3 linked regions of the Drosophila melanogaster genome follow. The protein of the gene in region 2 interacts with the protein of the main gene of each other region in a pairwise test. Each region holds a gene or a part of one and is shown on either strand. Other genes may lie near its edges.

Evidence for each region.
Region 1: the proteins of CG11672 (region 2) and Gdap2 interact in a two-hybrid assay, tested with the Drosophila melanogaster proteins (one large-scale study listed by BioGRID).
Region 3: the proteins of CG11672 (region 2) and ND-MLRQ interact in a two-hybrid assay, tested with the Drosophila melanogaster proteins (one large-scale study listed by BioGRID).

The regions. Positions count from the first base shown.
Region 1 is NT_033778.4:7,732,596-7,739,384, forward strand, and holds the start of Gdap2 (Gdap2), read right to left. Parts: upstream 3,028-6,789; 5' UTR 2,782-3,027; exon of another isoform or gene 2,559-2,781; intron 1-2,558.
Region 2 is NT_033777.3:8,287,180-8,294,250, forward strand, and holds CG11672 (uncharacterized protein), read right to left. Parts: upstream 3,400-7,071; 5' UTR 3,370-3,399; coding exon 3,319-3,369; intron 3,257-3,318; coding exon 2,585-3,256; 3' UTR 2,216-2,584; downstream 1-2,215. Other genes in the region: nazo, read left to right, coding at 860-1,061, 1,119-1,339; CG31464 (uncharacterized protein), read left to right, coding at 4,073-4,120, 4,175-4,825; CG31463 (uncharacterized protein), read left to right, coding at 5,187-6,338; CG9626 (uncharacterized protein), read right to left, coding at 7,030-7,071.
Region 3 is NT_037436.4:23,335,461-23,345,352, reverse strand, and holds the start of ND-MLRQ (NADH dehydrogenase (ubiquinone) MLRQ subunit), read right to left. Parts: upstream 6,028-9,892; 5' UTR 5,919-6,027; coding exon 5,877-5,918; intron 5,820-5,876; coding exon 5,673-5,819; intron 3,897-5,672; coding exon 3,834-3,896; 3' UTR 3,751-3,833; intron 1-3,750. Other genes in the region: alpha-Cat (alpha catenin), read left to right, coding at 7,307-7,478.

The DNA.
Region 1 (6,789 bases), on a different chromosome or scaffold from region 2:
ATAGACGGTAAAATCCACATTATACAACTTGTTTACTATCGAAAGGCAGGATGTTTGGCAACCAGCGCAATATAATCCCTCCTATATATGCAAGGTAACATGTGACATTGTTATTGATTGAATAGCACATACGAACTATATATTGCGTTAGATAAAAGCAATTAAATAGAATGGTTATACCTTTAAGCATACATATGCAATATACTCAGTAAAAGAATTCAGCTCAATGGTTGGCTCTCCAGGGTACTTTTCAGTCGGACACCGAACGAGTCTAGAATAAATGCGATTCCCCCATCGCCAGCCGTTCCAATTTGGGCCAGCAAATGCTCGTAGCAACTTTGTTTACGCTACACGCTCAATCCGCCAAACTGTTGCATAATAAATGCGAAATTGTCGCCCACATGCCAAGGCCTTTGCCGAGCCAGGCTGCTTCCAAAAAAAAAAAAAAAAAACAAGTCAGAAACAGCCGAAAATACATACAAAATACTTGGCTTCAGTTGCCATAAAAACTACAGAAGGAGCTCAGGAGCCCTCCTGCTACCGTAGCAGGATTGGCATTACATCGCCGGAGTGGGCAAACGAATCCAACTGGGCTGCGCTTGGCACGGACCGAAACCGAGCATTCAGATGCCATGCATTAAGTATACGCCGTGTGTGCGCCAGTCCGTGCGAGCTGCACGAGGTTGTTGGCATTGTCCTTTGCCTTCTGATCTCTGGCCCGGATTCCGAATTCCAATCCCAGAGCTAACAAACAGTGCCAGGCGGAAAGCGGTCCGATTTGTGTATCTTCCAGTCAGCGTCGCCCAAATATTTGCTGTTTATATTCATGTCGGATGCGTCATAGGCGTCAAGGCCTAACCTCCAGCTACTACAGCTATAGCTTCCCAATCATTGGCTATTAGTCGGCGCAACTGTGGGCCTAGTTTCACCTGACGTCAGCGGGATTAATTTCCCGTTGGCCATTGTTGAGCGCAAATTGCAGCAATTTTCCCGGCATTATCTTCGACTAAATTGTGTCGAATTGTCGCACAGTCCTCGAATAATAATTATAATCTGCAGCAGTCAGCTCGTTCTTCTTCCGACGAAACAGCAGAGCAGAGAATGCATTTATATAATGGCCGGTTTGCTGAAGCATTAAGTGAATGGCCAAATGCCCTGACAATGGTCTCATTCAGCGATTGTTGTTCTTGTCGTGCCTGGCCAACTCCAATGACCCCAATAAGCTGGCCAACTGCCCGAACAATAACTCCAGTTTGTGGGGCGGCTTGGGGTTTGGGGGAAATTACATTTCTATTAGGGAAATTCCACACACACAACTGTGTGCTTATGTGTGCACACACATTTGTGCGGCGGCAAATGCTAAAACGCTTATTAATAATTGTCAGTTTCTGTTAAGCGGACACGCACAGTGGGGCAAAGTATGTAAATTTTTGTTAGTCTAGTATATGGTAAAAACTAAAAGATCTATCATAATGGATTCGACTATCATGTTTAAGTTCTACAACATAATGCTCTGCAGTATTGCATCATTTGGTTAACTAAGTTGTTAGATAATATCATTTTAGTGCTTTTAAAGCAAAAACCCCAATAGCTGGCCGTTAATATTTAACAGCCTATTTGCAATTTAAGGACCAACTTTGCCTAGTTTGTGGGATTTGGACTAAACTAGCGAGCGATTATATGGCCCATGGCCATTTCAATATCGCCTGATAATTGGGCTGTGCTGGCAATTAACTGTGACCCCCACGAATCCCCAGTGGGCCATGCAGCTGGCTTCGATGATGACTTGAGTGGCTGACAGGCGGGAAAGCCGTCGAAACTGCAGTCATATATGTATATTTGAAATTCAGCGCACGAAAATCCAGGGAGGAGGAAAAGCCAGTTTTTAGGCTCCGGTCAAATGCTGCTCCGGCACTCGCTTAGTTATGTATTTTCGCATAAATTTCTAATGCATTCGCAGCCGATGTTGCAGCACGTTTGTACAAAGTGGTGCGGGAGGCAGCGGGTGGGAAAATTGTTTGGGAAATGCTCGGAAAATGGGGGGCGTTCGTTGGGGTGGCACGAGGTAAGTGTTCTTGGTGAATAAACCTGTCACTGAATGAACTTAACGTAGCTCGCTACTAAACCGAAATCATAAATAATTAGTGGCATGGCCGAGAAGTGGAAGTTGCACAAGCTCGGCTCCTGAAGGTTATTTCACTTTTTTTTTTTTTTTTGTTTCTTATTTTGTGAGTGTGTGCGCGTGTCTCTTCGTAATTGCCTCTGTATTTGTGTTTATATTCACCCTCTCCTTACAAAAGAACGCTTTTTCACCAGCCACAGAAACAAAATCAAAATGCTGTTTATTGTATAATCGAGACCTTGTTTTTGCCTGCTTCGTTTTTTTCTTTTCTATTCGTTACTTCACTGACTATTATTTCTCTCGTTTTGGAAAATGCACACACAACTTTTTCGAAACGAAAACACTAAAAGACAACACACTCACACACAAACACACACACAGGCGGATGCGTGGGCAAACATACACAGATACACACACATAGAGATACTCCGTTTACCGTTAAGCGGGCGAGGGGCGGTGGGTGGTAGGCGGAGTGGTGTGGAGTGAGATAAAGGAAAACGCGGTAGTTGGTCGACGGTGGTAGGCGCGGCGGTTATTCAGGTAACTCTCTGCGAGAGTGTGTGCGTGTGGCGGTGTGTTCGTGTGAGTGTGTGCTTGCCTGGCTGCGCCTGTATGCGTGTGTGTATATTTGCAATCCAAAGTTTACGGGCTTTACGCACTCGGTTCGTCGATCAATGAATCAAACTCCAACTCCGGGTAGCAGCTTTAATCACTTCTCTTGCACGTTTCGCTCAGTGTTCTTCGCGTTCGATTTCAGCTCCTCGGGTTAGTGTGTGTGTGTGTGTTGGTGTGCCGTGTTCGTGTGTGTGTTTTCGGTGTGTTGCAAGCTTCAGTTTCTCGGCTCAAATCACTTCTTCTTCTCTTTCTCGGCCACCGCTCGTCTGAAATCCGCGTTCGACACTGAAGTTAGCGAAAGCTTTCGGCCCAGCTTTAAACTTTCGACTGCTCAGAGCAGTGGGACCAAATAGAATTAACTCGATGGAGCTATTTAAGCCTGCAATATTTTTAAGTAACAGCAAGTCCAACAAAAATAAAAAAATATTCAAAAAATGTATTCCAAATTAAAATGTTTTGTTATGCGCCAAACTTTTTACTGTTAAACTTTTTAAAGCTATTCCGCGAATCTAATCCTCCTGGAAAGTGGGTAAATAGAACAAAAGTCAAATTAAAAAGCTAAACATAGCTTATAAATTAAAAAAAATTAACTCTTATAATCTATTTATTTTTAATTATACTCTTACACAAATTATGGTATATGTCAATAAAGACCCAAAAAAACAGTAAGCTAATTTTACATAGTATCGATATGTATAATAAATGTAGATACGGCGCTTTGATAGACACATACAAAAGCTAGCTACTATAAAGCTCAAAGCTTTTCGAAACTTTCTCCGAATTCGATGGCGCGAATACTTAATTTTTGATAACTTCAGTGCGTATACTTAATAGCATTAAGTCGTATACTTGATTTTTAATGCCCAATAAATTAGTTCTTTATTAATGTGTGTTTTTGAGACATCATTGCTTCATCTTGATGCCAGCAATTCGAATAGCAAAATATGCTAAATACCTTTTGCTAGACATTCTTATTATTTAGCTAGGCAAGTGCTCTTTAAGCCATTGGCTCATCTGCTCATGGACGTGTTGTCTATTTTCGACTCGCTTAGTATCTTCTCAGGCACGCGAAAAACTCTTCGGGCCATTAACAAGTTAATCAAAATGCATAAATCACCAATATACAGAAGATTCCGACAACAAAGTCGCTGCCGCATGGCTATCCATTCACCTGCGGCCAATGTATATTTGTCATATTTCCAACTTATCAACAACTTCATGGACCCGCTCCGGGTCATATAGCATGGACGCTAGAGACGACGCTACACGAGTGCAATTGGTAGAAAACTTATACAATTACCCGAAAAACACATGCGAATTAAATTGTACAAAAAGTGAAACCAGCTGAAGAAGCGAAAGCCAGCCGGCTGCAGATGAAAATGAAGATGAAGTTGTCGAGGTTGAGGCTGTCTTAAGACGGAGTCCCAACTCCGTCCCGTTCCGTCCCGTTCCGTCGGCCAAGATGCATTTCGGCGGATCCCCAGCTCCGCTTGCTCATAATCGGCAGATGTTAGCCATAAAATTGGAAAGGAGGAAACAAACAGTTGACCATTTTATTCCATTCCAATGGCCAACTGGTTATGGCCATGGATGGCGAATCTGCCAACGAACTTCTCGAACTAGGAGCACCCATGTCCCATGTTCCATGTCCGAAGCCCAAAAGTGATAAATGCGCAAAACGGATTTATATTTTTGTTTTTTGTATATTTTTTTGTATTTTTCGTCGGTTTTATACTTTTTAGGTATTTTTGTTTGTTTTTATTGAAATTCCTTAGATCGCAAGAAGCGCACAGAAGTAATATGTATGGTAATTGTTGTATATGGTATAGATATAGATACATTATTATTATTATCTTTTATATATATAATGTAATATGTAAGTAATATTTATATATTGTTTGTGTGTGTGTGTGTGTGTGTTTGTGTTTGTGTGTGGTGTATGTGTGTGTGTGTGGCGTCTGCTTGTGGTGGTGTATGTGTGTGTGCTGGTATAATAATTAGATATACGTAATTAAGTATATATATTATATACAAATCTCAATGGATTGTTGATTGATTTGCTTGAATTTACAATTATATCTGGTATCTGTATCTGGTATCTTTATCTTTATAGATGTATAAATTTAATATTACGCGCTAGAGATATTTCAAATGTCCTCTTCTCTACAGGCTTATCCAACTAACATACAGCTAAGTAATATATATGTGTATATATCTATATATTGTATTGTATTGTATTTTATTTTATTTTATTTTATTTTATTGTATTGTATTGTATGTAAAAACACAATCCGCCCAGCCCAGGCATTAGCTATGGGACCCAAACATGAAATAAACCTCTTCATTGCAGCTGGCAAAACCAAAGAATTCCGACAAATCAGATCAATTCAGATGATCGTCCTGCTTTTCCTGTTTAAATTCTTTTCTTTTTTTTTAATTTTTGGTTTAGATTTTGATTCAGTTAGAGTTCGGTTTCGGTTTCAGTTTCAGTATCAGGTTAACTCGTTTTAAAGTTTGCACTAAGTAAAATGTTTTGCAGATCGCAAATTGGAATACGTTGGCTTTGGACCTTGTCGAATATGCATATAGATAATCTGGATATATACACATACATACAGTATACAGTATGTACATACAGTATGTACATACATCGTACATTATGTCACAATGTTTAAACTAAAGTTAATACATAAATTCAAAACACAAGTTCAAGGTTAACATTATACAAAAGTGTGTAGTTGGTAGACAATTCTCAAAGTTATCAAAGAATGCACACGGAGAGGAAACATCGTAAGCTAATCATCATCCATCGTCATCCACATCCACATCCACTCATCTTCGACTCATTTTGCTCTGTGGACCATTTGTCTTTCATTTGTTGTGGATATAAACATATATGTGTATATATATTTATGGTTGCATATAAGTATATATTCCTTAGTTGCTTGTGGTATTTTGTTGCAATTGCAAAAACAGAGAATTACACATTAATCTAACATTCCTTGATGGTTTTCGACGAAGTGAAGTGTTTCGTTTCGAACTATTAATATTTGTTGTCTAGAGCATATCTATATCATGTCTATATCATTCATTAATTATCACCAGCTGGTTTTAACAATACACTCAATCAATCATTCACATACCTACATAACATAATATGTTGCTGTTGTCAGGACACACCGAAAATATTCTACAAAATATGACATTTCGTTCTACACATTACTTTAAAATTTATTTCGGTTTAACTTTGCTTTGTGGATTGAATTTCATTGAGCAACTTCTGGTACACCAGACACATATATATATATATATATATAAATCCTCTACACTTCCGAATCCTCGTCCACATATTAATTTGACTAATATTTACATATCATCGCTTTAAATTATCATTTCAGCCTGCAATTAGATTGTTGCTTGGAATTTCTAGACTGGAACCCAAAACGCCGCCTTCGTCTGTTGCACTTGGCATACAAAAAGGTCAATTCGAAATTAACGTGCTACATATGCATGCCGTATTTTTTCACATTTTTGTTTTTTTTTTTAGGTTTTGTGTGTGTCTGTTTGTTTATTAAAAAATACAATGATAGGTGTGCGGGGACATGTGGGTGGTTGGCAAATCCAAAATTACATTACAGCTTTGAGTGTTTGGGTAGGTTTATTACAAAAAAGATAAATGTTGGAAAAGATGAAAACGACTTTCGACCGAGCAAACAGATTAAATTTTGGCTTTAAATTATCAGGTTACTTTTTTTTGTATATTTTTTGTTTTCTTTTTTTTAGACTTTCAATAGGTTTTACAAAGTAAAATTTAGTTTTCGTAGGCAAAGAAAGTTACACAAATAACGTAAATGTTGTGCATATGGTGTAAAAGGATTTTCATATAGCCAAACTAGTGATGTGATACGCAATCGTTTTCGTCCTTTTTGTGTGTCAGTGATTTAGGTGGTGTCCCTGTTCAACATCTAACAGCGGCTGAAGTTCAGTCTGCGGTTCAAACTCTCGGGATAGTTACATTATTAAAGTAGGAGCGCGTGTGTGCCAAGTGTCGT
Region 2 (7,071 bases):
TTCTATTGATACCATTGGCTGGTAAAAAAGTCTGATAACAAGTTTGGTTCGCGTTAGAACCCATAATTCGTCAGGCAGAAAACTTGTTAAAATGGTGAATCTTGACTTAGAAATGATTTTGGAGACTCTCCTGAACGCGGCGAGGAGGAAAAGGGAAAGGGAACACCTTGAAGGTTCTTCGGAAGGTAAGTTCCGCCAACGGCATATAAACATAAACATAAACATAAACGGTCAACTTACAGAAGGCGAGTATAAAACACTAAACGATTACCTACCTATCATATCAATTGTATTTGAAATGTAGGAGTTATCTACTGGATGTATGAGAAAATTGCGGATTTGACCTTGAGGGTCCTGGCAGAATTGGTTGACTTTGTGAAGGCAGCTATTATAAAAATAGTTGGTGTCGCTACAAATGCTGTGGAGTGTTTCAAGCGTGATTTTACAGTGCAATGTGCCGCATTGGAAGCCTTTGTGGTATTTTTAACCAGTAATTTGGGATTTCAACTGGAAATGTAATTATTCATGCGGTTCAAAAAATTCCATTCCATGCCTGCTAAATCATTGGATGCACTGCCATAAGATTATGATTTCTTTATACTTGGGTTCTGATATCGGGTACTCCTAAAAAAAAGCTTTCAATCTACATATGTACATATGCGAAGCTTGATTGCAATGATAGATTAAAATTGATTTCGATGATTTGGTTTGTATCGAGTAACTCCCCTCCACAGTGGCGGATATACAATTATTGCACTACTGATAACGAAATAACAACGTGATTGTACTCAGTTGTTAGAAAGATCGTCACCGGGAAAGAAGTAAAACTTTGTAACGGAAATATACATAAATTGAAAATATGGATTCAGCCATCTCAGAGATAATCAATGCCCTGGCTATACTGGCCGACGATAAAAATATCCAGTTGACCATCAAGGAGGCCGGCAAGGGAGCTGCAATTTGTGCTGGCGCTGCGCTGATCGGAGGACTACTGCTGGGCCCCCGGGGACTGGCACTGGGCGGGGCCATCGGTGGTCTCACCGCCTACGGACTTACGGAGGGCAAGAGTGTCTAGCGTTACATGGTGACTATCATTCTTATCAGTCTTTTAATTCCAGGAAATTTCAAATCTCTAAGTGAGGTCATTTTGAACGATTTGACGGAGAGTCAGCGTCGAGAACTGGAGCAGCACGTGATCAGGGCCATATCCGAAGTTAGAAATGTACGCGTTCGAGATGTCGCAAGACTAATACTAAATAACCGGCATGTGCAAGAGGTTGCACTCGAAGCAGTCAAGTCCTATATCACTGATCGTATGGGAATGACCATCGTTGATTAGGCATTAATAGAAATATTTTTTAAACTATATTTCTCGATGATTAATGCTATAACACAGAATTTTGCCTGCAACATAAATAAATTGTTGGCGCACTGAATGATTTTATTTTAAAATCTATAGTAAAAACCATTTCAGCTTATAATTTAATAGTCAGTGACTAGCCTTTTCGATGTGCCAGATGTAAAAAGATTGTTTTGCTCAGAGCTCGGCTTTCAATAGACAAGAGTCGCGCGATCTACGTCATCAAAATCCGTCAGATGTCTGGAGGAGCTGAACAGATGTTGGAGTAGGCGGAATTTGTGCAGCTACACTACCAAGGCGATCATCAGCAGGGCAACAACTGTTACAAGCAGTAAAAATAAGATAAAATTCAGAGACTCTTAGTGAAATTGCGGCAAGAGCCGAAATAAAGAGTCGTAGAAATTTCGTTGCTGCACTGTGAACGACGAGAGAGATGTGTGATGCGATGCTTTGGTGTATCTCACGGATGCACAGATACTCGCTTCGGATATTCGCTCAGTGTGCGGTAGGCAGGTCAAAATAATTTTGCTTACTGCGGAAGCGAGAGGAAGAGGAAAAAAACTGGCTGATCTCGATCTCGATCTCCGTCTCTATCTCTTTCTAGGGCCAGCTGTCGCCCATTTGGATCGGATCCGTATGCTACTATATCTTATATCGTGTGGCTGCCACGTGTCGTGGGCAAGTCCATTGGGCAATTGGTCAGTTTAGCCGAACAATGGCCAATTAGTATGCATGCGACTTTGAAAAGTGAACTTGCGATTAGCCACAAAGTTGCCCAATATACATATGTACATATGTATATATATGCAATTACAGAGCAACCTCTCTAAGTCGAATCAAACTGAAATGAGATCTTGATACTAAGTAGTAATTTACTTCACTATTTATTGATCATTTTAAAATGTGTAAATTCCTTGGTTTAACACACGCCTCTTAGCGTTTTATAAGAACATAGTGATTTGAAATTGATTTTATTTCAATTCCAAGCCAGACTTTAAAAAGGCTTCACTGTGCCTGCAAATATGCTGATAGCTGTACCAGATCGACTGCAGCAGCTGTAAAATCAATCAAAAACTTGTCAAATAAATGTCATGCATAAGCAATAAGTGAACAGGATGTGGCGAGTCCTCGGCCCCTGTCATCTTGCGGGTGCATAAATTTGCCATTGGCTGTTTTTGCCTGGGTTCTCTCTTAGGACTATTGCTTACGGGAAGGGTCGGTCCACTATGATTGCCGGCACTGATCCTGCTCCTCGCGCAGATAGTCGCCGATGTGCTGCACCACCATGGCACTGCACAGCTGAGCCTGCACCACTTGATCCTCGGCGGTCTGGTGGGTCTGCACCAGGATTAGGGATGCATTGTGCATGGATTGGGCCATCCCCAGATTGATTTCCGCCATCGCGTTAATGAAACAGACACTTCCGCCAGCTGAAGCTAGAGGATTAAGCGGGGAAGCCCCCAGCAATTGGCACTTGGCCGGCAAGTGGGCAATCTGCTGTACGAATTCCTGTACTCTGGCCAAAGCCAGTTGACTCTCCAGACGGAAGTCTTCCAAAAGGCTTCCCAAGTCTTCCGTACACCCACCCAGCTGATGGGTCACATTTTCATTGAGCTCATCCAGGCTCCAGGCTGGGTTGCAATCGGGATTGGACACCACTAACTGGTTTGTCTCATAGATCACATCACTTAGTTCGGCCATAGCATTGGCGGTCAGGACCTCAATGTTACCGGCAATATTTTGCCGAGTGCGATTTATTTTCTCCTCCAACTGAATGGAGGTGTCGTCGCTGACACTTACGGCAATCTCTGCCAGATTGTCCACAACCATGGTAACAGGTCCATAGTTTGTAGTCTCTGTCTCCATCTTTGTTTCATAGCCGACTTCTTGGCAGTCCTGAAATAAAGGAGCATATGAATTTGAAAAGTACTATAAATGGAAAGTTACTATTAACTCACTGCCAAAGTCAGCAAAAGCAGAGCAAGTACTCCCAGAGTTTGACTCATCATCTTTCTGTTATATTTCCTAGTGCGACTGGCCCTACACTTGACTTCTTATATATGTCAAGAGATCCAGTGTCACGATAAGAGTGTGTCTCATAGCAATCACTACGAAACACAATTTGAGCATTAACTTGATGAACTGAGATGATGTTTTAGTACATGAACTTGGTATACTATTCAAAGTATTCTATTTGGTCATCGTATTTTTCGTAAATTTTCGTAATTTCTTTTTGTAAATTTCTCACCTTCGTTGAATAATGGAGGGATCAATTATACTTTTATTTGTAAAAGGGGAGATATTTACAGTTCAAGTTTGCTAAAGAAAGCTGAGGTTGATGACTAACTTGAAGCATATAGTCGTTACACAGTCATCATGCGATAAGAATCTTTCTTATAAACATTATAAGACACAAATGAGCCATTTGTCTAATTCAGAACTTAATTTAAGTTTTGTTCGGAACTTAAATACCCTAAAGTTTCATATTGATCACATATGACATGGGTATTTTTAGCAACTTACGCTGTTAAATTTTTCGGTATCCCAATATTTTCTTTATAAACAATAACAATTTTTGTTAAAGCGTTAAAACTCTTTCCCAAAAAAGAATTTAATTCTTAGTCTTAGTTAATTAAGGCAACCTTTGGCGATCTATAAATAAAAGGTATGGTATCTTCAATTTTTCGGGAATCAATTCGATTTAGTTTCAAGATGACAACAGTACGGGTGTCACTGCTTTTACTTCAGTCGCTTCTTTGTGTATGAAATAGCATTATTTGTGTAAAGTATAATATTAAAGAAAAGATCTTACAGGTGCATGGCCACTTTCAAAGAATTTGGGGACAAAATGGACCACTCTATGAGTCCACAAAGCAGCTTATAGCCAGCCAAAGCTCCAGTGCAGCCAGGATCTGGAACGTCACCCAACAGGCCCTCGATCAGAAGTTGGAGTATCTTCAAGAAGCCAAGGACACACTGGATGACCATCAGCAAGTGGTTAGTGGACGCTTGGAGATGTTTTTTGGAAGCCAGTACAGCGATGAGTGGCGGGCATGCTCAAAGAAGTACGAACTCCAGGTGGCACACTTCAATCGAGAGCTGGTGGACAAGTACAGTATCTGCAGGAATTCTCTGGACCACATCATGGATCATTTTCAGGAGGAAATCGTGCTGGAGGCTAATTTTCTGAGTAAGGCTTCGCGGGAGATCAGTGAGTTGTCAAACACCTGCAGAATCTGGCAGCTTAAGCAGTCTGGTTTCAATCACGCCGGAGTTTTATTATGCACTGTCGCTGGAATCGGGAGGATCAATCAGCGGATGATCAGCAGTCTGGAGCTGTGCGATGCAATTGTGCTGGAGATGTCCTTGGAAGACCTGGACACACCAAGTTGCCTCTTCTACCATCATCTGAAGATGGATTTCGATGACCTCTTTACGCAGATTGAGTCGTGTGCGATAAACTAGAAAGAATGTAATAAAGTCAAATGCACTATTAACTGTGGTCTGGTGTCGACTTGAAAATATTAATTACTTACATCAACTTTTACCTAATATTTATGAGCATAGTTATCTTTAATCGTTATCAGTTCGACCATTCATAAAAAGCCAAATAGAAATTTAAATTTTCTCTCGAAAAACATTGCCCCGTGGTGGTTTATATATAGCGTAATATTGGCGATAAGCCGGATAAGCCTAATCAACCTGCGCCACTTAAGAAAAACCAAGTGTGGTATCTTCGATAGTGTTTTACGAGCCATACTTCTTCCGATAATGAAGCTGGTCAAAATCCCTCCCTCAGTTGTACTGAAACAGTTGCCCGGGCAAAATGATTGGAAAAGCATTGCTTCTGCTGGGCTGTGTGCTGCTCTTCGCTTTTGGTGAAGCCAACCAGGAACTGGAGACTCTGCTGCAGAAGCAACAGGTGGACTTGCAGTTGTCTGGCGAGGAAGTGGCTGCTTTGCGTCCACTGTACCTAGAGTTTCAGGCGCAGTACAACTATCTGTACAGCCTGAGGCTCCAGAGCGGCGATGGGAGTGATCAGAATCCCGCGGAGGAGCCTGAACTGGATAGCAACTACCTACGGGCATTTGAAGACTTTCGCGAAAAGTTCTCCATTTACTTGGATGAGAAACCTCGAGTGGTGTATGACACAAAATTGCCCACTGTCGACGAGATCATGGGAAAGCCCAGTCCCGACTTCACACCAAATCAGAGGGCGGAATTCGAGGATCTCAGGGAGATTATTCAGGATGTTATTGACGAGGCACAGTTCGGCATTGACGACTTGGTGGAGAGGGCCATCCAACTGGAGACGAATCTGCTGAAGCTGAACAAACCAAAGATCGTGACCGCAGCCATTGCCGGATTGGGATACATGTGGAACTACTGGGGCCGCGGAAGTCAGGCCGCCTATTGCAGTTACTCGCTGGTCCCAGAGTTCCAGATAGGTCTGCAGGCCATTAACGATGGCGTTGATTGCTACTCCCGCACCATGGCCTTGGTAATGCGCATTCAGAATGAAACAGTGGCCGCTGTGAAGGAGGTTAAACGCAATGTCAGTAGTCTTGTGAAGATTTGCAAGAAGATTGCCGCCAAGCAGACCACCGTTGGCAAAATCCTGTCGGGTACAGTAAACGCTCTCAGTGCGATCCGCCGGCTACACGACATCATCGCTGTCGGAATCGATGTCTACGGCAAAATCAACAACCAGTTGCCGGAGGAGGCCATCCACTCTGCGGAGTGTGGAGTGGTGTTCGTCAACAGCATACCCCAAATGTTGGAAACGGCCCAGAATCTGACCACTTGCATTACCTACGTGAATCCGGATAAGCCCGACTTCGAATTCACGCATCCCGAAGAGGATCGCTATTGGAACACTGGCGCTGATCCTCCGGAAATACCCCATGAAAACGTGGTGGACGATGATGACGATGATACGGACTATCCGGAGTTGGACGACTATGAGGATCACAGATAAGCTTTGGAATTTCACCCATTGATAAGGCAAAGTTTGATAATCGGCACAATAATGTCCAAATAAGAATAAATTGATCGTTGTGATTACAATACAATTATTGAAAGATTGTGATTAAAATAGATCATGGTTTTACAAGAAGTTTTTGTTTTACGAGACTTTTAAACCACAAATTCGTTTGTGAAATCAGCAAACAATATCAATTTAAAGGTGAGTTTTACTTAACATTAAAAGTTCACCCATTATTTTCGTACCGAGGTTCTTATCTTAAAATCGGTAATCGGAAATTTATATTAATTTATTGCACCGAATGAAAAGCGTTTGATATATTTTTAAAATGTACATATATTTAAAATATATTTGGTTAGATATAAAAATAGGTAATTGCATGTTTCGTAAACAAAAAATGTGGATTTAGTGACTACACCTTAGATTTGGATTTTTGATTTTACGCAGATCAATCTGATTCTGCTTCGCAAATGGCTCGTTGAGTATCTCAACTTTACTGCACACGGTCGCTAATTATTAACGTACAAAAAAAGAAATATTGATGAGTTCTGAGAACCTGACATCTTTTGTGCCAACATCTAAATAATTAATTCGGGTTGACCCCAAAATGCACGCGCTTATCTCGTACAACGATTTTATAGATTGCTCCTATGACTAGATTCTGGACTGGAGACTGGGAATCTGACTAGACGTCGCTCTCCTTGAGCTGGCGGACATATTGTTCGCT
Region 3 (9,892 bases), on a different chromosome or scaffold from region 2:
ATTTAATTAGTCGCTTAAATTTCTATCGATTTGCCAAAAAACTTTTTGCCACGCCCACTACAACGTCCTAACTTTTGAACCATTTTAAAATTTTATTCCCCAATATCTATCCATACCCCAGAAACATGATAAAATTTCGCATTCGCATTCACACTAACTGAGTAACGGGTATCTGACAGCCGGGGAACTCCACTATAGCATTCTCTCTTGTTTTTGCTCTGTTCTATCCTCCACTCTCTCCTTCGGACTTATTCGCGTTTCCCCCGGTTTGATGACGAACGGCGGCTCCGGGCGGTACTCATTAATAATAAGTAAATTGTTTGGTACACCAACACTCCGACGGGTCGTGCCGAAGTGGGTGTCGCTGCCGAGTATGAGGGGACGCACATCACACCATGCTGCATCTCCATCGTCGGAAGGGGCGACGTCAGTCCACTAGCGCGAACGGAAACCAAGAGACACCAGAGCCGAGTACCAGCGTCGACTTTCGGCAGTGCTCTCTCACACAGCGACGGATATCTTGCCCACCGTCAACATATGGTTCGACATCGGGGCTAATGGCCCTCTGCCCGCTTGCTTACGCTGAGAGTGTAAGAAGTCTAAAAATAGAATTTGCTTGCTTGTGTGAGAGAGACGAGAACGCGTATGTGTGCATGTTGTGATTCTGATCGAAGAAACGAATTTACATATTTGGGGAGTTTTGGCCAATTTCGGAGCAATATGATGAAATTGCGGGCTGTTTAAAAATATCAAATTGGAATATAAAAAAAAAAAAATGAATATGAAAAACAACTGAATCTAATGTGCATTTTAAATAACAAATTTGGATCATTTTTAAAATGAATTTTCCAAAAAGAAGACAATAAATTGAGAAATAAATATTTCATAAAAATAATACGTACTAGAAAATAAAAATTTATAAAATAAATAAAAATATGAAAACTGTTTAATTCAAAACAAGAATTTTTCGCATGGTGCCAATTTCTCAAAAATAATATAGATTTAAAGTCCAAGAACTTCTAAGGTGAAGGGCATATTTTGTCAAATTTACAATGCATGAACATATGTGTGCACACATACAGTTGTCTGCTATCACTGTATGGGTAGAAAAGAGCTGATCGTTGTAGCGCTCTCCGCTCTCGCGCTCTCGAACAAAATTCGAGAGAGCCTGAAGCCACCTCTAGAGCCATGGCGAAAAAATCGTGTGCCAAAAAATCGTATGGCGTTACGCATCATGTTATTCTAGTGTCTTTGGTTGTTGGGTGCTCCGAAGACGGATTATTAGACGATGCCATGGGTCTCCATATCCTGGGAGTTGGCGATGAGAGGGTATGCAAAGGAGACTCTCACCCCGATTCATACGGAGACCCCACGGATAGAGGTGGTGTTTCGCGTCGAGGAGCAGCTTTGGATGCGGATCGAGAGCTGCCTGACTGCTGACTCCTCTAGTACGGTGTTCACCAATATCATATTGCCAAGTTGTGCTATGTCCGGATGTGTCCCCAGAATTGATCCAACCAGGTGTCATGCCAAGCCAAAACGGGTGCCATGTAGCACAGAGCGCAGTGCTATGATGGATGCTTTCCGGCGCCTATAACCACTGCCGCTGCTCGAATCCCTTTGCAATCTAGGACATTACAAGGCGAGCGTGATATTTACGCCCATTTCGTGTGCCAGTTCCTGGCGTTCCTAAAAGAAAGAAGGAATCCACCCGCTCCCTTTTCCAACGGGAGTTTCATTTCTTTCATTTAGGAACCGTTGGCCACACAACCGTACTTAACTACATGACTTCTTTTTTTACTTTATTGGTATACATGAATATTAGCTGAAATAAAGAAAAACTATTCTCCCCTGAACTCCTTTGAGAACTCAGTATTTTTCTACAGACATCTACACTGGCAGCCATTTGGACCCACCAATTTGCATAAATGGAACGCGGCAAACAAAAACATTGCCCCTGGAGATATGGCCACCATCATGTATTCGAATACACCCCCCGGCACTTCATCCGGAAGCATCATTCGTATTTAGTATTTCTTTCTTATCACCTGTTCGGACGGTATATGTGAGCGTTCGAAGGCTGGTCTCTCGTTTTTGTAAAACAGAACATTTCGACCAGTAAAAATTAATTACAAGTTACCTATCGTGATCAATTCACCACCACCCACATTTTATATTTTGTCTTATTTTTATTTGTTTTGTAAATGTCTATAGATTGCCAAAAAACTTTTTTCCGTGCCCACTCTAACGCCCACAAGCTTCCCAAAACTGCCACGCCCACACTTTTGAAAAGTTTTCGAATTTGTTTTTTGTGTGTTTGGATTTGTTTTCTGTTTATTATTTGCCTTGCCAATTTCTATAGGTATACCAACAACACATCGGCCACGCCCCTTCTTCCTTTCACATACAAAACGCCCAAAACAGTCAAGCAGACACTATTAACCTATTTTTAAATTTTTTCTTATTTTGTTCCCCAATATCAATCGATAAAATAAAATATCATGTTAGCATTTCCACTAGCTGATTAACAGGTGATAGACGGAAACTCGAATATAGCATTCTCCCTTGTTTTTAAATTCTCCAATATCTATCGACATGCCAGAAAAATTATGAAATATCTCCTTCGCATTTTCACAAGCTAAGTAACAGGATCACCTCCCTGTGCATGCATGCGAGTTGGCTCTGCCGGGGTAGGCATCGCCTAGAGTCCGGCATAATCATAGTTTCGTCTCATAATCTATGCCTTTCCTAATATATACAGGTGCCTTAAATTCACTGCTCGTTATCAGATTAGCTCGTTATTAGATTAACATGGCTCCGTTTCTCCTTATGTTCTGTATTTGGCCATTGCACGAAAATCTATCAATGTTATTGTTTTTTGTTCACTGATATTCCCTCTCTCTTTGAGGATAAAAAAGAGGTCCTGAGAAGAACCGTTATCTTTTTAATTCTGCTCTGTTTTACTTTCGGCGAAAAATTGGGCACCTATATTGCATCGCCCCAACTGCAGTTTTGAATATCTTCCATAACTTGAAAGGTGGGACAACAAAATTTTTTATGCTGTTCAATTGAAAAGTTTGGTTTAATTTTGCGAAAAAAATTGGAAGAGGAACGCTGTTATCCTTGCCGGAAAAATCCGATATCATAGCTTTCTATGAACGCGGGCTGTCTTTTCATAAAATTGCAGAAAAACCGCAGACATCGCAAAACTGTAACAAATTTGATTAAAAACAACTAAACTTAAGGAAAAAACTATAAAGGCGGCAATAACATTGTCTTTAACGCGGCAGATCCCTGGTCCATACGTCAAAGACCTTGCAACTCCCACTACTCTTACGGCCAAATTCGAGAAAAAAGTGGTGAAAACCCGAGCAAATCGCTGATTCAAAGGGTGATTAAGAAAAATAAACATTCCTTTAAGAATATTCTAATTTAATTATAACTAACTATCCTGATGACGCAATTTGGTTTACCCATTTATGGATTGTGCTTCTTTTTTATTTAAATCAAAATCTATAAACAAACTGCATCCCATATTAACTTTTTATTTATAGAATTAATTGTACAACTTTTAAGGGAAAAAAAGGGAAACAAATTTCCAAAGGTCTAAACAGTTTTCTAAATATATCACATCAAAAATTTTTGCTCAAGGGGTGCTAGCCTGGTGACGCGCAGTGTATTATGAAAAAAGGGCACTACATTTCTAAATTATTTTATCTTATATAAATATAAAGATCTATAAGAACATACGCTTTCAAATCCACTATGTTTATTTATAATTTGAAGTTATTTCATTTTACATTTTTAAATTGCAGCTGCTAGGGAAACGTAATTTATTCATCAAAGTTTGGGGCAGCACTCTTAGTTTTGGAATAATCCCTCACAGGCGAATAAAACTGAAAAAAAATGCAAGATTCAATATATTATATATTATATTATATTATATTATATTATATTATTATATTATATTATATTATATTATATTATTATATTATATTATATTATTATATTATATTATTATATTATATTATAATATTATATATTTCATCTAAAAAACACGAATTACAGTAAACCTATAAGTCCACCAGCAATTAAGAGATTTAAATATTTTTAGATTTTAGTAAACTGACACTGAACGATCGCAATCAGTTTTACATTACTTACGCAAACAATTGTTTACCTAGCAAAAGAAATTTGAAAGGCAAAAACAAAAAAAAATTAAAACATTATTAAGTAACAGTGAGTGTTTGCGGGGCTTGTGGGTAATATAATGGAACTTATGTACCTTCACTGCGTAGTTGACCCTTAAATACACATGCTTAGTCTCAACTTTCTAGCTTCAATAGTTCCCTGGAGGTTTACGAGGTTCATCTCGGTTCAAGAATATGTATAATTTTTAAGGTCAGGAAGGCATCCATTAACTGGTTGCATGCATTTTAAAGAATCTACTATTCTAGTGAAGTGATAGAATTTGATAGAAATTTATCTGAAGCGAACGTTTTAGACCCTGTGTAAATCTCTGGCGATCCCTACATTTCTGGTTAGTCACTGTCGACAAAATAAATGATAAGTTCTCCCGCATTGCGTCCGAATTGCTATAAAATATTAAATGTTAGAACATTTTTGTGATCTTTATTTTTTTTTCATAGTTTTAAATAACTAGATTATTATAAAATTGATAAAATTAAAGGGTTTGATTGGCGTTTAAGTCGCAATCACTACATATTGAAGCATATCCCTCTTCCTTTTTATTTAAGGGTTGAATTATTCCTTAATACGCACTAATGACACCCCATCATTTCTTAATTTCACTTATTTTACCTATTTACCTAAATTACCCATATATATATATATATATACATTTTTTCTGCCATAAAGAATGGTGAGTATGGTGTTTTAATAATTTGTTATTAGCTAGTTGATATACGCAAATATCTCCGTTTAGAGATTGTTAACAGGCGGTGTTTACGGTTATTGGGAATTGTTTTGCGAGACAAATAATAAAAGTGAAAAAAAGTATCACTGTACAAAATAGTCGACTTCCTCGACTATCAGATACCCGTTATTCAGCTAGTTAAAATGCCATAGCGAAATTTCATGATTTGTCTGGGATATCGATAGATATTGGTGAATAAAATTTTTGGGAAATCAATCAAAATTTAAAAAACTAATAAAAATGTGAAAAAATGTGGCAGTTTTTGAAGATTTGTGGGCGTGGCAACATAGGCCAACAAACTTGCGCTGCGGGTATTTCTCTAGAATCTGTATGCTTAATCTCAACCTTCTAGATTGTATAGTTCCTGAGATCTCGACATTCATACAGACGGACGGACAGCGTCAGATCGACTCGGATATTGATCCTGATCGAGAATATATAGGCTTCATATGGTGAAAACTCTGCCTTCTACCTATTACATACTTTTCAATGAATCTAGTATAACATCTTACTCTACGAGTAACGGGTATAACTACAACTACAACATAGTATATATTCGTGAAATATATATGTGTAATGGTTATGGCATGTCGGTTAAATCGCCAAAAAAGTAAAAAATTGCAAAAATACATATATCTATAAGCAAATTTGGTTATTAACAAAACCACGGTCGAGGGCTTTTCTTGGCCCATTAAAATATGAAAATAGAATATGAATATTAAGGAGCAAATCTAACCTTGTATTGCTTTTCTTTGTACTCTTGCCATGGTTCGGGATTTGATGTGCGATTCCAAGTGACATCGGGATTACGAGTAGCAAGTCGAGCCATATAGTAGACGGCTCCAATAGCTCCCGCTCCAACGCACACATAAAGTGGAATTAACTGAACAAATTTTTGTTATGCAATCAACAGATAACTTAATATAATCATAAAACTTACAGCTGGATTTTTTTTAAGACTTTGCAGACCAAGACCTTGCATTTTGTCTACGTTATAATTAAAATGTATTTAATATGTAAGAAAGAAACACATTTATAAAAAATTACCTAACTTTACTCAATCCAATAAAACAGAATGGAACTATATATTAGATATGGACATATTTCGATGCCAACAGCGATGTCATCGATGTTTTCCAAACATCGGCAACTCGATGTTGACTCAAACATAAAAATATATGTATTCATAACAGGCAGATGTCATATTATTTTATATGTGACATGCCAGTATTAAGCGATGCTGGTATAGAATGGGAACTCAAAAATCATGCACATAAATATTTTTTTTTACATCTAAGGAATATATTATTTTATATACGTAATTTTTATGCATGCTTGTCGCACAGGTTTTATGTTAGGCTGTCATAATAATTTCAAGCCGCCGGGAACGATATAATCTTCTGAAGTAGTCATGCATTTTTGTTACATTTTGTTTATATGTCGAAAGGATTTTTTTTCAATAATAACAAGAAAAAATGCTATGTAGACTTTCCCGACTATTAAATATCCGTTACTCAGCTAGAGGCAATATGATCGCGAAATATCATAATTTTTCTGGGACACGGATAGAAATTGGTGAATGCAATGAGAAAATATTTAAAATTGTTCAAAAATGTGGGCGTGGTCGTTTTTTGGTCGGTTTGTATCGTTAGAGTGGGCGTGGCAAAAAGTTTTATGACAAATCAATAGAAATTTACAAAACTAATAAATATATGAAAATATATATCAACACAATTTTCAAAAGTGTGGGCGTGGCAGCGTTAGGCGTTAGGTTAATATCATATGGTTAATCTAAGCTTTATAGCTTATATTGTTCCTGAGATCTCGACGTTCATACGGACGGACAGACGGACACGACCAGATCGTGTCGACTACTGATCCCGATCAATTGTTCCAATGCTTCCATCAGCCTATTAGGAACTTTTAAACGATTCTGGTATACCCTATTACTCTACAAGTAACCGGTATAATAATAAACATAGAAAACAACAATCCTGATATGTGTGGAATATGTTAATTCATTAAATGAAATATTTTTGTTGGTAAAAATTAAAAATATTATTAAACTTTTCTCAATCGTCTTCAATACTTGAATATCACATATTTTTCACGAGAGTTCAATCATCAAAAATCAATTTTAATTATTTTCTTAAAGTCATTACTAAAGAATGACTCACAGGACTCAAAACTACAAAACTATTTAACTTATTCATTATATATTGGTTACGTTACGTAGGTCATGTGGCTCAGTGGGACTATGATATATTTAAAGCCCGCATTCTTTACAGCACTGCAAAGTTACAATCCTGGTACTATTAATAATCAGTGGACTACATATTATCGAAAAAGGCGTCGTCGGTTAAAGAATTTATGTTAAAACCTGATAAAATGGGCACGTTAACCGATTTCGGACAGATAGCTTTGAAATGGGATCCCAAAAATTTGGAAATTCGCACAATGTCAGTTGAAAAAACACTTGAACCCCTTGTATTACAAGTAACTACTCTTGTAAATACCAAGGGCCCAAGCAAAAAGAAAAAAGGTAAAATGTTTATAGCTTATAGTGCCTAGAAAACCTAAATATTAGAACTTTCAATTTTAAAGAAACTTTTTGCGAGTCGTGAATAACTGTGCGTATACTCATTTTAATTTTATTAATTATAAGTATTGTGTACATACGAGAAATGATAGAAAATGTTCTAAAACGGCTGTGTATACTATACATACATATTGTGACATCTTAAATTTTGTAGGATAGAAAGCATTTGAATTCATGTAACAAGCTTAAAACTGAAAAGGAATGTGAAAGCATCTTTTACCTCTTTAAACGCAAAATTGCGAAAATATAAAAAAATAGCCTATTAGTGATTTACATATATTTTGATTGTGTTTCATTTTGTTATATGTATATCTTTCCAATTTCTATCGATATGCAATAAAAATGTTCAAATTTATAGTTCGCTTGGCCACTAGCTGAGTAACAGGTATCTGATAGTCAAGGAAATTTACTATGGGGTTCGCTGTAATATATATTTGTTACTCGTAAAGTAAAATGGGGTACTAGATTCGTTGAAAACTAAGTATGAGGTAGAAGAAAGCGGTTCCAAAAAAAAAATATATATTCTAGATCAGGATCAATAGCCGAGTTGATCTGGCCATGTCCGACTTTCTGTCCGTATGACAAAGCGTTTTCATATGAATTCATATTTTCATTAGTCTTTTAAATTTCTATCGATTTACCTTTTTTTTTTATTAGAGTTTATCATTTATTATTAGTCATACGTCAATAGGAATCGTTCAGTTCCTTCTGAACTTAACCTAATGTGTAGCTTAAGAGATATGGATTCCGTTCCTTAATTAAAGTGTATACAAATGTACCGTGGAGAGAATCGATTTATCAAAAAACGTTTTGCAACGCCCACTCTAACGCCCAAAAATTGGTTTTCACACAAAAATGTTTTGGTATTTTTCATACTATTTTATTGATCTTGTAAATCTATTGATATGCCAAAATACCTATTGTCAGGCCCACAAACCGCCCAAACTTTTTGAAAAATATATTTCTTGTTTAAATATAATTATTTCTTTTTCAATTTTTACCGATTTTCCAAAAAAATTGAAATCTTTCACACTTCTAGTTGAGTAACGGGGTATCTGATAGTCGGGGACTCGGTTATAGCATCCATTCCAGTTTTTGTTTTAAGTCATGTCAATTCTTTTTGCAAAACCATTTTGGTCAGGAGAACTATATACAGAACTATCACAGGATGTAAACAGCTGTCAGGCCCTTAAAATACAATAAATTGTTACTTCATATTATTTAATTACTGTTTTTATACCCGTTACTCGTAGAGTAAAAGGCAGAAGGAAGCGTTCCCGACCATTAAAAGTAAATATTTTTTGGGCTGGCTCCAGCTCTCTTGAATTTTTGTTCAAGAGCCAGATTTCGGAGAGCTCTTCAGCCAGCAACTTCATTTTACGCATACAGTGACAGCCGAAAACTTTTTGTGTGTACACGAATACTCATGCATTGTAAATTTGACAAAATATGCCCTACACTTCAGAAGTTTTTGGAATTTAAATCTATATTATTTTTGGTCAATTGGCATTATTTTAAAAATAATTTTTTCCTATTCGTATTATTTTTATGAAATATATTTTTTTAAATGTATTAAACTGTATGTGTTAAACTACAAAAGTAATAATAACTATTCCATATCGCAACTTTTTTTCATTTATAAGTTTAAATATTGATGAACCTAATATTAATGCTGTAAAAAAAAACTTCTCCCAGTCCCCTGTTGAAAACTCCAAACATGTTAATTCGTTTCTTAGATCAAAATTGATTTCGGCCCGAAAATCGTCTTCTAGCACAAGTACGCACACATATACACTTTCACGTTTAAACGTTACTCACACAAGCAACCAAAGTCTATTATTTTACGCTCTCAATATTATTCGAGAGAAAAGAGCACAATCTTGGCCGTCACCAAACAAGTAGCTGCTTAGTGAAAAACCAATGTATGGCCCTTACGCATCTTGTTATTCTAGTGTCTTTGATCTGACCCTGTCCGCCCTTCTGTCTGTCCGTTCGTATGAACCTCGAGTTCTCAGGAACTATAAAAGGTTGAGATTAAGACATTTACGCAGCTCAAGTTTGTTGACCCATGTTGGCACACCTATTCTACCGCCCAGAGCTGCTACGCCTGACCTTTGGAAAAATGTGAAGTTTTTTCATATTTTTATTAGTCGTGGAAATTTCTATAGACTTGCCAAAACTGTATGGTAAAAGAGTATACCAGATTCGTTAAATTCCGACTATATAAAGTATATATATTCTTGATCAGGATCAATAGCCGAGTCGATCTAGCCATGTCCGTATGAACGTCGACACATTAGCTAGAAGGTAAAGCCGCCCTAAAACCGCCCAAAACTGACACGCCTACATTTTTGAAC